2 linked regions of the Oreochromis niloticus genome follow. The protein of the gene in region 2 purifies or fractionates together with the protein of the main gene of each other region. This does not show direct contact. Links are inferred from orthologs where the notes say so. Each region holds a gene or a part of one and is shown on either strand. Other genes may lie near its edges.

Region 1 (7,898 bases), on a different chromosome or scaffold from region 2:
TTTTTTTTCTTTTGACAGAAGCTAAAAGTAATAAAATCTACAGTACAAGCACTTCACGCTGTTGGACTCACAAACATCTCCTTAAATGCCGAAAAGGAATTGATTTTGAAAATCCCCCACGGTGGTCATTTGTAAGTTCTTGGCTCATCAGTCTTGATACATTTACCAGGAAGAAAATTCTTTGATAATCAAAGATGATTAAGCTGCACATGTGGGCCTACCTCAGCCTGAAAATAAGTAACATCAGACATGAGTGCAAGTCTCTGTTGCTCTTTCTCTGAGTCACTCTGCGAGTTGTTTACTCTGCAACGGTGTTGTTCGGCACAGAAAGCACGCTGCATGTCAGCACACCGGGAGAGATGAAACGAGGGCTTTGGCTGTCAACGGTCAAACACGAAACACTCCCACAAACCAGTCTGCCCCAGAGGTGCCTGCGTGTGTGCGTCTGTATAAAATCTGCCAGGTATCAACAGTCAACCATCCATCAAATGAACAAAAACAGCAGATCAAACCCAGCCGTGAATTTTACAGCATGGATTATGATGCCATGATGTCATAGGAAACTACAGCTCAGCTACAACAAAGTGTTTTGTTGGATAGGAATCAGAGAGAGAGCAGTGACAGAGAATTCAGGCATTTCCAGGTACGGACAATAAAGAAACCCACACACGGGGCTGACTGACCCACACATGAAGCTACTTAAGGCTATTCAAACATGATCATGAGTGGGACAAATAGCCCTAAGGGGACTCAAATTAATTTTATTTATTGAACAACATGCACGCCAGGCAAATAGCCTATGTGACCTTTCTTAACAGAAGTCTACGCATTCGCCTGTTATTTAAAAAACAAACGCGCCATTCAAGCTTAACTTAATTAAACCCCACTTACATAAAACATGTCAAAAATCAAAGTCCTGGTGAGCTTTCTCTAATGGAAGGCTAAAATCTCTTTGCTGGGCACAAACACTTCTGTGTGTGAATGTGTGCGTGAATGGGTGAATGACTGGATATGTAAAGCGCTTTGGGGTCCTTAGGGACCAGAAAAAGCGCTATATAAATACAGGCCATTTACCATTTACCATATACAGGAAAAACCCTGGTAAAGAAGTATGTTCTGAACATGTTTACCTTGGCCACTCAAGGCTAAAAAGGCTGGCAAAGTTTCACTGAGACAAAGTCACTTAAAATAAGTTAAGCAGATATTTTTTCACTCTGGTGTTTCAAATAACTGCCCACATAAATGACTGGAGGCATTTCAAAAAGGATACCGAGTTGTGGTACTTCTATAAAAAGGACTCTGGCAATGCTGATCCTGGAAATGAGCTCTTGTTTAATAATTTTTTATTAAGAGCATGTTTTGTGTTGCAATCAGACTTGAGGTAAAAAGAATTGTTTCCACATTTTTTCTGATTCATGCACACCATGAATCTGAAAAAACATAAAATAAAAAATGGCGTAGCTAGGAAAGTCTCCAAACACTGGTTTTGGAGACTTTTCTTCCTTTCTGACTCTCTCTAACACCCACATATACATAGATGCACCAAGGCTGCTTGCTTATAGGAAAAGTCGTAATCATGATAAATTTGGTCAATATTCTAAAATATGCACATTATTCACTAGATTAAGAGACACTGCGTAGATACTGGAGTTTAAAAAGTGTCTTTTTCTGGGCATTTTCTTCAACTACGAAAGATTCCTAGTTTGAGGTCAGGAGTAGACACAAACTCTTCTTTGGGGTAGCTCCAATTAAGTGATATTCTTTCACATGTTCACCATAAGAAACCTTCAACGATTTACTTCCTTGATTAGATCTTTGTAGCCAAAAGCTGAATTATAGACACCCTGGTTGGGGTTAAACTAAAAGCTGAACTTTTAGGGAGAGTAAAAACACACCACTCTAAATGAAAGCTGTGCAAAGAAGATGGTCAAGATTATTTTGTTTTCTCAACAATTTGAGAGCAAAATCATAACGGAGATTAAAATCTGACTAAACGTTGAGCCCCAAGTTGCACTTTGTTTGAACTGACCTGGCTGTCAGCTATAACTTGTTTCCTCGTACTCGTCACCATTTCCAGTTTGGCGTTGTTGGGCAGGTTTGCAAACCTCCATGGCCGCGTCAGGTCAACAATAGTCCTCTGAAACCTGCCAAAAATTTTCACAGTGGAGAAGAAAGAGAGCAATTAAATCAGACTAAATGTTTCATGTGGAGTAGCTGGACAGCTGTGAAGAATGATGTATGAGCCTGAGGACAGTACAAACAGTTACAAACAGTTATCAAATTTCAATTTGATTTCATTTTTTGACACATAATTTGTCTTGTTTCTTTTTTTCCTGCAGTGACACCGATTTTTAAAATATAAGTAAACACGATCTGAAACCAAAACAGAGTTGTACAAGATGTGAAAATCGCTTACAACATTTAACTTGCTTAACTTCTTTAACTATATAAATAAACGGATATTTCACATATTACTATTCCGCTACTGTCCAGTGCGATTGTTTATGTATTAAAGTGTATTTGGATGTAATCCAGGTGAAAGGCTTTTAATCTGAAGGGACAAAAACTGATATACAGCTACGTTCATTTGCTCACTTCAAACCGTGATCTTCTGGGTTAAATCCGTGCTTCTTGCAGACTTCCTCCAGCACCTGAAGGCGGAAAATATTACAACACGAGTTATGCCACAAAATCTCCCAAATAATCTGATTTCATCCGCACGAAAACACAAACTGATCAGTCACTGGCTAACAACTGTTAGCCCAGCAAGCTAACTCGGAGGGAAGGAATTTAGTCCGGTTCTATAACCAAAGCGCAGAATTCAATAAGCCGTCCACCTAAGTAAAGATGAAACGCTCCTCTATAACAGTTCACCTGCAGTAACGGCGTGTTTGGAGCCACTTTAACTGTTTGCCTTCTCCCATTGGGAGTGAGAACCGTTACAGCTGTGCCACTAGCAGCCATTGCGTGTCCTGACGTCACAATGTTTGTTTGAATAAGCTTTATTGACTCTGTCGCGGCATCACTTAAAGGTGCAGTTCGTTCAACTTTTAAGATTTTCTTCGTCTCACCTTTATGAGCGTTATTATCCAAACAAAATAATGTTAATTATACAAACATTTAAAAAATTAAGAAGAAATAACCCCCACAATGTTTTAGCGTCCCACTGCAATAGTCAAATAGCACTTAAGAGACATCTGCTTGTCTCTTAAAGTGCTACAACATGAAATAAAATACTAAGAACACAACTTGTACTATCTATTCATATACTAAGCCTTACTGTAGTTTAGACTGGCTAGTAGTTTATTGTCTTTTATTTTAAAAAACGTTACAGTGAAATATTATAACACCAAATTCAGTTCGGTTTGGGTTTATTCATACGGTGCCAATTCAAACAACCATTGTCTCAAAAAGAGCACAGAGAGACAGAAACACAACACATGCTATGGGAGAGGGTAGACACAATTTAATGCCATGCGATAGTGCCATGTAAATGCATCAGGAGTGAAAAGAGTGGACTAGAGAAGAAATGGTCTACTCATTTTTGGGAAGTGTCCCAGCAGCCTGAACCTATAAAAGAATAACTAAGATGCTTTAGACTCATCTGATCCATCCCAAACGCTAAGCTTTATCAAAAAGGAAAGTTTGAAGCCGAATCTAAAAGTAGGGAGGGTGTCTGTTTCCTGAACCTAAACTGGGAGCTAACCTGATACCTGAAGGATTTGCCTCCAACTCTGCTTTTAGAGATTGAACTGCTCCATTGGGACAGTGTGATATTATAAGGTCTATATTTTGTATTCCCAGGGGGAAATAATTTTTGTCTACTTGAAACTAGTGTAATCTAGTGTTAAATTTCTGATTTAACAGATGCATACAATTGTAATTTGTATTTTTTTATTATTGGATCCCATGTTATGTACCGTGTATACTGGCTTACTTAACAACTTACTGGAGCACTTACATAGAAATAAGACCTCATTAATCATATTAATGCCAACTCTTACTTTCCCTTTTGTCAGAATAAACCAAAGGGGTTAGGGTTATTGACTAGTCTGTCTAAATCCAGCTAACTGAATTATTTATGAATTATAAACATGATGTGAATTACATGGAATTTACAGTCACTACATTAACCTAGGTGGAAGGGGAGACTTAAGTTTGGAAAGGTCTTTTCTACACATCCGTTTGTGTGTTAGAAAAAATAATTTGAGTGGATTAACAACATCAGAGTCAATGTAAAAAAAAATCTATCTATTCATTCTGTGAAAAAAAAAACCCTCCGCAGCTTGTATTGTACAGTGTGCATCTAAAAACAATATGAAGATCATTACTCTTCCCTTGACCTTAAAAGCATAATAAGAAAACACAATCTGGCCTCATGAGAGAAGGAAATTGATCCTGTCTGTAAACTGACCACAACACAGTCACACACAGTCAATCTGCTCTCCATATGGAAAACCTAATGTACTGTATGTATGCAGTTTGAGCAACAACAATCAAGGCTGTTTTTTCTCAGCATGGATCAAATTGGATCAAAGCTGGAATAAGACGAGACAAACAACATGACAAGTGGTGCCAACAGATGGAGAGGTGTGAGGCCAGAGCTTAAGAGGCCGAACAACTGACTGATTGACTGACTGCTTCAAGAGCAACATTTAAAGACAAAGTCCACCTGGGAAAGAGAGACAGACAGACAGAAATGAATGCACTTCTCAGTCCTAGTGGGAAATTGCCACCATCTGAACAAACAAACAAACAATCAGTTTCCTTCCTCGCTCAGCAGGACTGAAACTTCAAAACTGTCTGGATAGAGCGCAAACTTATAAAGGCATCTGCAGTGGGTTTTACATGCTGAGAGACCTTTTTTAAGTGTTCCTTTCATCATAAAAAACCCCATCAAAGATCGAAATCAAATTACAGGCAGTGTGTGAATGTTAGACATCAGAGGACGGTGGATCTGGTGAATGAATGGGGACGTTTAAAGATGAGCAGATGTAAAAGAAACAATATGGGCAAAAATAGCTTTCTGGTGTTAAACATATGGCTCATGGGCTACATGTGTCCCACCCATAGGTCCAGTCTGGCCTCCTGGATGGCTTAACAAGATGTGAAAATCTCAGAGAACCTTTCACTTCACCAGGAGTTAACCTCTGTTTTAAGTGGTTAAAATGAATCACATGATTGCAGTGGCTGTACGAATGATTCATTTTATCCAAGTTTCACCATCTTCTTAGAAAAAGAAGCTTTCAGGGATTAAGAATCTCTTTTCTCTTGAACCTAGATGTGCAGAATTATTCTATTCTATTTTTCCAGTGGCTGGAAAACAAGATCTCCGACAGAAGAACACACAAACCACTTCATACTGACAAAGATTGTCTTAATGGGGAATCATACAATGTTTTTATTGACCCAGCACACTTGAAATTAAATTGGTCACATATAAAATGACATTGACACCACTGATGAGTTCTCCAACCAGGCCAGCCAGTGCCAGTTCTCAAACTGCTTTGGGATTCTGTTCATGTATCTGTGAGGTTTAACGACACAATAAGAAGTCAGTTTTGGAAAAAATGGTTGTAAAGGAAAAGTAAAAAGTGGAGCAGATGAAGCGCTGGCTCACATTTACAATAAGGATGAGTCAAAGGTCTTCAATACAGTCAACAGTTGCAACAGAGTTAATAACTGTCACACAATAATCTTAAACTCACATCCCGCAAGCATAGCTTAAATATTTTACGTGTCAGTAATAAGTGTTGATTTATGCTTTAGTGTGACTTAGTGTGTTCGCCCTATCGCTGTGTCTACACATACCACACTCATGATTTAAAAACTTCCAGCGACCTTATCTTCTGTTGTGAAATAGCCCAAAAGATTATCTGATTATCTATCTTGAGCAACAAACACAAAGAAAATGCAGTTTAATTCTGAAGCGCATAAAAAGCCGCAAAACATGTGCATCAGTGGCGTGACCTTCTGCAGCGGAACGGCGTGTCCAACTGCGTTTTTTACTCACACACCATGTTCAATCAAAGACACTTCAAAGGCAGCGCGGTCATATGATGACACAACATCAAAGGGGCCGGGGGTATGAGTGAACCGACTGAGGGGGCGTGCCAGGCATACGCGCGCTCTTGGTGTGAGCCCCACGCCCCGCAAAGAGCATCCGCCAACGATAATAACGATTGGCCCGCGGGAGTGAGAAGCACGGGGGCAGGCAGGGGGGACGGGGGGAGGAGGGGGAGGACCTCAAATAAATTCCCGCTTCATCCGCAGCTTATAAGACCTGAACCAAAAGGCAACAGGTCACTGGTGAGACTGAGCTGGACGAAACTTCAGATATTTTTACGCACGGAAGAACCCGTTTACTGGACGAACTGCGCGCGATTTAAGGAAATGAACTGGAACTGCACGCGCATTTTGCATGAGTTTGAATCCAGATACCCATCTCTCAGGGCACCATGGAGACCCATAAGCTGTTTTTACCCAGTACTGCTGGTATAGGAGATCGTTTGTTTGAAGACTCCGTGCGCTTTCGAAGAACTTCCTGTCGATCTACCCACTCATAGGATATGCTGTGTTTTCTTCAGAGCCCACGCACACACGCGAGGAACGTTCTCCAGAAATAATTAGAAATGCAGAGCCGTGGTGTGGCGAGAAACTCATTTGGACTGTCCGCGGTGCGCTCCTGCTTGCTGCTGCTCTTCATCCACCTGAGCGCACCGGTGGAGGCGAGGAGAGTGCGCGGCGGTCGGGCGCAAACACGGAGGGTGCAGCAGCAGCAGACGCCCCCGCCGTACAGGGAGCGGGTGGAAGGAGCAGAAAGCTTCCCGTTAGACTTCACAGCTGTGGAGGGCAACATGGACAACTTTGTAGTGCAGATAAAGAACTTAGCGCAGTCACTCTATCCGTGCTCTGCGCAAAAGCTGGATCAGGACATGAAGCTGCACTTTTTGAAGAACGTGTCTGTGACTTGCAACGACGGGTCACCTGCAGGGTAAGTGAATGGCCTGCAGATTCTTCATAGTTTCTTAATGACCTTCAGGCGTGATTTAAAACCACAGTTTTGTCATTAATTGGTAAGAATCTGAGACACGGAGGGGTAGATACACCCACCATCCGATCTGCGTTTTACTACTAGTTTAGTTCCGTGTGCTCCATTCCCGTGTCACTCCGGATGTGACCAAAATGGATCAAAGGATCAGATCAGAGAGAGCGCCATGCACGCTGCAAATTAGCGCGTACACGAGAGGGAGGGCGCGAGCGAGGACGAGAGAGGGGCATTTATCCTTGTTCTGGCGACTTTACGATAAAGCAAAATTAAGAGTAATGACAACAAAGATTATAACTAATGATAGTTCAAAGATTTATGGCATTTCAAATGTAGGGTTTTCCACACTGGACGAAATAAAATAATCAGTTTCCCACCTGTGCGAATCACCAGTTAATTCCACTCATTGTCAAAGTTTTTAAACTCTGTTCCAGGTGTAAATTAGAATATATTGTGGGCAAAATATGAATTAAATCGCTGTGAATGAGATGAATCTTTCGATATACCACCCGCATCAAGTGTGAGAGTGTGCGTGCTGCCAGCAGCATGGTGAGTTTCCTGTCGCTATGTGAAAAAACACAACCGGACATGTGCGGGTCTGCAGTACCCTGGCTCCTACAGAGAAGCTTAGTGATCAGAGCCAGATCTGTCAGTTCAGGATAACAGGAAGCATCCCCAGTGTGTGGAGACTGTTTGAATGCATTCATGAATGTGTGAATACATCAGCGCTTTCACGCTGCTTTGTTTTGCTGTTCTTGTGCAGTTACTACATCAAGGAGTCAAAAGGAAGCAAGAGGTGGCTGCTGTTCCTGGAAGGTGAGGATGAAATACACCTGATTCAGACAACACG
Region 2 (7,766 bases):
ATTCTTACTGTCTCTTATTCTTACTTACTTACATTGTATTTTACCATGTTTGTTGTCAATTTGCTAAAACTTTCTATCTTTGTTTTGCTGATACTTCTCACCTGAACACCTGATATTTTACAAATCAAGCAGATCACTTCATTTTTTATTGTCATTTCACCGGCTTCTGTCCTTTTTGGTAAAGAAGGTCTTTAGATTTAAATTTTTAACTTACAGTTCATGTTTGCAGGTTTTCAAATTCACATCTCTGAAGCCTGTTTGTGTCAGCCAAACTTCTTGAAACACCAAAGGGCGTTCACAGTTCTGCAGAGTTGGACTGACATCAGATTAGGAGTTGTCCAAATCTGATGTGAGTCCAGCTCAGCAGTGATTCAGCACTGGTGCAAATGTTGGGTTCAACATTACCAGACAGCTGTAAATGGGTGCAAGAATTTCCTGTATTTTATGCAGTAGATTTGGGGAAGTGGATTAAATTATTAACAGGCCTTCAGTAAAATTCAAGTCCTATAAAAAATCAGATTACACACTTTTATCTGTGCCTTCTGTGATATGAAGCAATGCCTGGACTCTAAAACATCTAACACACTCCCTGAACACATATTTCCTTGTGCAGTCCACAAAGGACCGACCTGCTCTGTTACTTCCTACACAGCTTCATGTATGTACAGGCACAAGAAGAGGAAAAAAAACAAAACAAAGCCCACAACAACACATAACACTCCTGTACTGATTTAAAGATAAAACATTTTCTAATCAGTTTTCTTTGTGAAAAAAACATAAGAGGCCTGCACAGGTTTTCAGTGTACTGTGGAAATAAAGTACAGAAGGCTTGGATCCAGTTCTGGTGTGGAGGAAAGCAGAGAGTGGGAAATTCTTTGCTTTTTTGCCAGCACACGACTGATGTGACACAACAGATAAATATCAGCTACTGATGTGGATAAATGCCATCTTACTTGCTGATATGCCAATATCAGCTAATGACTATATTTGGATCATATATCAGTACATCCTTATGATTGACAGTATTAACATGACTAACATATCATCACCCTTTGGTTTAAAAAGACCTGTTTTGAAGCATCAAGAGCAACAATCCTGCTGTTTTGGCCACAAGTAACTGCATGTGATGGGTCTAATAACCAATGAGAGAGCAGATAATCTCCGCTTTTGAAACAGGGTATCACCAAAAGGTCAAAACAAAAAGTTGTTTTTTCCCAGATTTCAATTGGATCAAAGTCTTTTAGGGGTTTAAGATAGCCTTTCATTCTTCCAGCCAGAAAACTGTGACCATTTTATTTTATGCCTATTATTCTTGCTTAATTTTACAATGCATAGCAATTTAAAACAATGTGGCACCACTGTACCCTGAAGGCAGCAAACATGGGTAATCTTTGTGAACTGGAGATGAAGTGAGGGAGGGCGTGCAGATTAGGATGGTACTCCGAATTTTGTGACTTTTCAACTGTATGAGGACACGGTGTTACTACTTCCATAAAATAAATAATGACGATGAGCTGACAAAGCCTTGAGGTGAAGGAGTGCTGATGCTTGGCAGTTTATGGAAACACAAGCTACAGAAAATACCTGTTTCCCCTCCTTTACATCTGAAAAAACTGTTTTGAGCTCACTCTCCCTCATCTTCTCCCATGCCTTCGGAAACCCAAGGAGGTCATAAGCAGAACAGAATATGATGGCCCAGGCTTAGATGTTATTGTGTTTGTAACTGCTGGACAACTATTCACAGATTACTGCCATTATCTTATGCAAACATCAAATAAAGCATACTATCTACAGTTGAATTAAAACTATAATGTGTTTAGAAGTCTTTAACTAAACTGTTTTCTTAGCTATTCGGTGAGTTTGTCAGCAGGGATTCTTATAAAAAGGCAGAAGGGGAGGCTTAGGGAAGAGGACAGCAGCAGCCATGACTAATTAAAATCCTGCATTGTTCAGAAGTCAGCCACCACCTTCATTTAAAGGCTGAACTGACCCCCTTATACTGGAGTGCCAGGCCAAACTGATAAATCCTGAGGCTGGAAACCAGCCCTTAGAGTAGAGAAGAAAACAAGATGCTTGAGTGCTGTTATATTTAACACATTACCTTCTTTAAAAAAGCAGCAGCTGTCTCCCTCTTTGTAGAAGGAATTTTTTTCATCCCTTCTGGGGACTGCACCCTGATGATCTAAAGGAGAGACAGAAATAAACCCACAATTCAGTCGTTACAGTACAAGCCCGAATCCATTGTAGCATTTCAAACACCTGTCAGTCAAAACCAGGACGCAGCCCCCCCCCCTTTCCGCCCCCCTCCGGTGTCAGTGTCGGGGTATTATGACAACCGTGACAGTGCAGAAAGAAAAGTCGGGTTAACGTCAGCTCATCAACCTCTAGTTTTTAGCTGCAACATGACGATGTTGACATTGAACTACTCTGGAAAGCTGTCAGTGTGTACTGGCTCATTCACAGACTAACTAAATATCACTTTCGTGGTGAATGTGCAACATCACAGCTCCCATCGTTACCGAGCTATTCGTGTTACTGTCATGCTAAAGAGATGAAAGAATATGCCAGTCATTTTAAGCCGGCCGTTATTGTCGCTCTCCCGTTAGCCAACAATGACTCTTTTCATTCGGATGTCGTCAGCTAGCCTACTAGCTATCATATTAGCCGGCTAGCTAAACAGGCCCTGGTCACTCTTAGCTCATGTTAGCTGGCTAATGCTAGCCAAGCTAATTCTGCTGCCTCATCATTCAGGAGTCCAGCTAACAGGCTAGCTAACGTTAGCCGGAGCCCATCCTCCGCTGTACTTACAATATTATCGGCCATGCTGCTCGGGTAGGTGCGCCCGGTAGATTTGGCTTTGTTAGTGGACAGACAGGGTCAAAACAAATACCCCGTAGCGCTGCTGTGTATGTATATGTGTGTGTGTGTGTGTATGTCAGCGAAACTCCATCCCGCAACTCAAACACCGGGTGTTGCACACATTAGCGCCCCCATCGATCCCACAGCGGAGCGACCACGGTCGAAACAAAGAAACTAAGCTAGAAACAAGGGTTCCACTTTTATCATTCTTTCTTTTTCTCCCGTCAGTTACTGCCTCCCACCTGAGCCCCCCCGAGTCAGATCCTTTTTAGTATTAAATATGCTGAAAGATGGGATACAAAATATTCCTTTCACACTGAACATTTTCAGAGATGTTCAGAGGCTCACTACAGCATTGTTGAGCCCTCCTTGTAAGTGCACAACATTATCTTAATTTTATTCTGCTTTCTGAATTCTTAACAATAACTAACATTTTTCATAAAAAAATCACTATCATAAAATATGAGGCATTGTTTTAACATGTGGGATGGATAAAACTACCGTCTGGTCTATGATGATGAAAAGTAGCCCAAACCCTAAACTCTATAACACTATGGTATGAAAATATGGAATTTCTGGCTTTTAAAACTTTTGTACAGTGTTTAAAGGGACAGGAATGTAATTAAGCATTTAAAGGAGATGTGATGGACTGAGTAGTCAGTAATCAGTCAATTTATATTCTGCTTAGGTTTTGCTGTTTTATGTCTCAAACAGTTACTTATAGTTATTTTTTTATTTGTAGGTTCAAAGGAGGGTGATTTTATGTTACTTACTGTACTTTCTGCAGCGTTTTGTACATTTTAAACCATCATTGTGGTCACTCTTACACTTCCTCACACTAGCTGTATTTGGGTATAATAATTTATGATACCAAATCTCTCTCATTCATGTATGTAAAACAGCTGTATTTTAAATGTGATACACTTATCTAGATATGAAAATGTTTTAAACTTTCCAGACCATCACTACAGAAGAAACAGCATTTATTCAAATAAATTAATTTTTAAAAAATCAATGTGTTTTTAATTAATTTGATGATTCCTGGCACTGAGCCTCGTATTTGACATGTATTGTCTATAATCTAAATCCAAAAAAGTTCCCATTATAACAATACCCGTAGTTTTACACGCTGTTCATTTATTATTGTTTTGGCTTGTTTTAAGTACCTACCCCCTGTTTAAATGTGGATGTCTTCATTATGAAGTTAAAGTGACACATATAGGTCTTAGATGTTCCCTCAACATCAAGGGAACATCAACAAACCACAGTACCTGCGTGACATTATGTACTTTGCATATGCAGAATATTTGTGAGGCCACAGAAAAGACAGAAACAGCTTAGAATGAGAGAACAGGTGTTATCACTAAATCCCTACAAGACTGATGAGGAACTCATTTATCTGAGGAACCTTGTGGCTTATGCTCTGTCAGCAGACCTCATAGCTCAGCCACGTGTAGAGGAACAATTTGTTACACTTATGAATGTCACACTGTTGTTATAAATTCTGCTTGTTATGTTTTTGATTCTGGAATGTGCTTTATGGATGAAGATTGTGAGTTGTAACAAAACGATCAAAATTAATCTAATGTGTGCAATAATTTGGTTTCATTGATGCTGTTGTGGCAGCCTTTAGGATTATAAATTATGAGACACCATTCCCTTGGGGGCGGTTGCTTCACAGCATCTGGCATAAAAATCAGAGAAATCAAACATGCGGAGCGAGCAGCTGTGGGCGAGCAGCCGAAAGTAGCTGAACTTCATTCTTAATAAAAGCAGGATGTTCATCGGCTCATCTCCCCAACACAAAGAGAAATGTGAATACACATAATGAAATCAATCTTTCAAGTCTAGAAGCTCTTTTACAGTGTTAATTCAGAATAAAGAGCTTTTCCTTTTCTCTTTTAATGAAAAGTGTTGCCGGACTTTTCAAAAAATAATCTAATTAAGATTATGAAAAACTGGATTTTTTTTTTTAAAGTGAATATATCAGTTTTTATTTGTATTTATTTATTTTGACAAGACAACTTTTGGTATTTTCCTCTGTTGTACAGTTTCAGTTCCTTGTTGCAGGATAACACAAAAACTGACTGAGCTACAATTACGCACGGTAACCACTGGGGCATTGCTCAGTACCAACAAACATGCCAAACTTCACCCTGAGAAACGGCCTAATTTGTACTAAAGAAGAGCAGAAAAAGCGGTCGGCATGAACGAAGCGGATGATCTTCGACAGCACAGCGATCAAAATCCTGAAGAAAAGCCGGAGATGCAACTGCTCGGAGCCCTAAAGCTGCAGGACGAAATAAACCGAAGCGCAGGTGAGAGAAATCACGGATGTTTGATTTTATGGAGCAAACTGCTGGCGTGATGCTAACCTGTTGTAGGGGTGGCTGAGATTTCCACAGCAACAAGTCTTACTGTCCTCTGTTAATCTGACTCGGTTCACAAATGTTCCAAAACGGAAACTGCAGCGCAGCACCCGGACGGTTTACGGCGCGCACACAGCAGGGTGATCTCAGTTCAACCTCACCGAACAAACAGCGTTTCCACCTTTAAGATGAAATGGCTGAATAAGCTGCTCCGTAACTCAAATGTAAAATATAAAAACTATAAATCAAGCACCAACATTCGCTTTATGGATTTGTGCCAGTATTTACAGGTGTGTGTGTGTGTGTGTGTGTGTACTGTATGAGTGTACCAACGCTGATATTGGTATTGGGTCAATAAAAGTGTGATAGCCTTGATACTTTGTTTCTATCTTATATGTTCAGTATAGCTCAAACATGCACTAAGAGGTGCAAATCTTTCAATTTTATTTATAGCCTATAGCAGATTTAAACAACACTAGCTGAACCAAAGTGCTTTAGCGACAGGCACATCTTGATTATTTTGGAGAAAAAAAAGCTGTGTTTTATTATGTTAACCAATGGTACTATCCAACACACTGCACTCCCCTAAATAAGCTGCATTATGTGTTACAAGTATCAGTATTGATATTAATATCGGCAATACTGACCCTGTATTTACTCGTTCTCGGAGCCATACCAAAATCTTTAGTATTGCACTACCACAATTACGCTGCACACTTTATGTGGCTGCTGAGCTGAAATGTTTGCCTTGATGACTATTTTTTCCCTCTTTCTTCAGCAGTTAAACAGAGAATACAGGGCTGTGTACATATATGTACACAGAATAGCTCTGAATGGAGAGCACAAATGTGCTTACTGTGTTTTATTCGTGCAGATGTCCAGCAGCTGATTAAAGAAGAGATGCCTCATGAATGGAGTCCCAGTGTGGAGCAGAAGGTCCCAGAGCACCACCGCATAAAGGAGGAACAGGAAAAACTCTGGGACAGTCAGGAGGGAAAGGCATTTATTTCTGTAAAAAGCGAAGATGAAGAAGAAAAACCTCAATTCTTAGAGCTTCACCAAAGCAAAACTAACAACAATAGCGAGGCAGAGCCTCCACCCAGCAGCTCAGATAAACAGATGAAAACAGAAACTGATGAAGACGACTGTGGAGGACCACAGCCTGCCAAGAACCCAGATTCAGACATTCATTCACCTCTTACAAAGGCTTCTGAGTCTTTTGAGAGTGAAGTCAGTACTGATGATGATAATGATGAAGATGAAGACTGGCAGACAACTTTATCAGATTCTGGAACTGAAACTGATGGTACTGACAATAGCTGGAAGCACACCAGGGCACCTGATTGTAAAAATCTAGTTAGCTGTTCTGAGTGTGGGAAACAGTTTAAGCAAAAGCAATCTCTTAACAGCCACATGACAATTCACACAGGAGAGAAACCATTTGGTTGTGATGAATGCAGTAAAAGATTTCGTAATCGGAGTGGTCTGACAGCTCATGTGAAAGTTCACACGGGAGTTAAACCGTTTAGTTGCAGTCTTTGTGGTAAAAAGTTCTACCAACAGGCAATTCTGAACGCACACAAGATAGTTCACACTAAAGAACAGCGATTTGGTTGCAGCACTTGTGGTAAAAGATTCAAACGTCAAGGTGATCTGACCGTGCACATGAGCGCGCACGCAGAAGTGAAACCATTTGGCTGTGGTCAGTGTGGCGTGAGATTCACACGACAGGGAAGTCTGCTGAGGCACACTGTGCTCCACACGGGAGAGAAACCATTTCATTGTGATATTTGTGATAAAAAATTTTACCGAAGGGCACACCTTATGAGACATGCACCCGCTTGCAGGAATGCTCACGCTGTTGTGTGCGACAAAACAAAGAAACCGTTTGCTTGTGATGAATGTGGGAAACGTTATAAGAGAAACACACACCTTAGGAGACACATGGTTGTCCACACAGGAGAAAAACCTTTTTCCTGTAGTGCCTGTCGTAAAACATTTTCACGACAGGAAAATCTGAAGAAGCACATGAAAGGCCACATATAACAAAAACTGCACGAAGACTAACTGTGTGGTTTGTGTTGGTAAGCGACACGCAGGAAAACAAACGATCAGTTTTTCCTGATTTGGAGAAAGAAATATGTTTTTGTAAAAGCTTTTTATAATGTTTAAAGGAGAAATGTGAGATATTTTTCTACCTTTCTATTAAAAAAATACCAGCTTTGTTTTGTCATATCTAAATAAGATTGTATTTTAATATTTTAATACTATAATACTTTCCAATGCCCTGGGTCAGACCAGAGGTTGTAATGGCAGAAATTAATTATTTGGATAGCTGTGCTTAAGGTGAGATCGGAACTATCAGTAATGTATTGATTTGTTGATTTGTTGACACAGATTCCAGTCATGGGATCCAGAATCCAGACAAGTTTACAGATTTTATGTAACGTGTTTTTGTTTTTTTCTGGATTTTTGGTCGATATTCTGTTTCTCTCCATTAAAATGAATATTGCCATAAAACTTTTGCATGGAACAATC

What was found. The genes of interacting proteins can lie anywhere in the genome.
Region 1: the proteins of nploc4 (region 2) and aspscr1 purify together in Homo sapiens (affinity purification with mass spectrometry; 3 studies listed by BioGRID and IntAct, with this or other methods). This does not show direct contact. The link is inferred for Oreochromis niloticus from reciprocal best matches to the Homo sapiens genes NPLOC4 and ASPSCR1.

Annotation. Positions count from the first base shown.
Region 1 is NC_031971.2:32,711,750-32,719,647, forward strand, and holds the start of aspscr1 (tether containing UBX domain for GLUT4), read right to left. Parts: upstream 3,013-7,898; 5' UTR 2,965-3,012; coding exon 2,875-2,964; intron 2,652-2,874; coding exon 2,596-2,651; intron 2,145-2,595; coding exon 2,030-2,144; intron 1-2,029. Other genes in the region: inactive palmitoleoyl-protein carboxylesterase notum1b, read left to right, coding at 6,633-6,994, 7,812-7,864. UniProt on the Homo sapiens protein: Tethering protein that sequesters GLUT4-containing vesicles in the cytoplasm in the absence of insulin. Modulates the amount of GLUT4 that is available at the cell surface. Enhances VCP methylation catalyzed by VCPKMT.
Region 2 is NC_031973.2:3,598,336-3,606,101, forward strand, and holds the start of nploc4 (nuclear protein localization protein 4 homolog), read right to left. Parts: upstream 3,020-7,766; 5' UTR 2,824-3,019; coding exon 2,809-2,823; intron 2,183-2,808; coding exon 2,102-2,182; intron 1-2,101. Other genes in the region: oocyte zinc finger protein XlCOF6.1, read left to right, coding at 5,066-5,177, 6,103-7,274. UniProt on the Homo sapiens protein: The ternary complex containing UFD1, VCP and NPLOC4 binds ubiquitinated proteins and is necessary for the export of misfolded proteins from the ER to the cytoplasm, where they are degraded by the proteasome.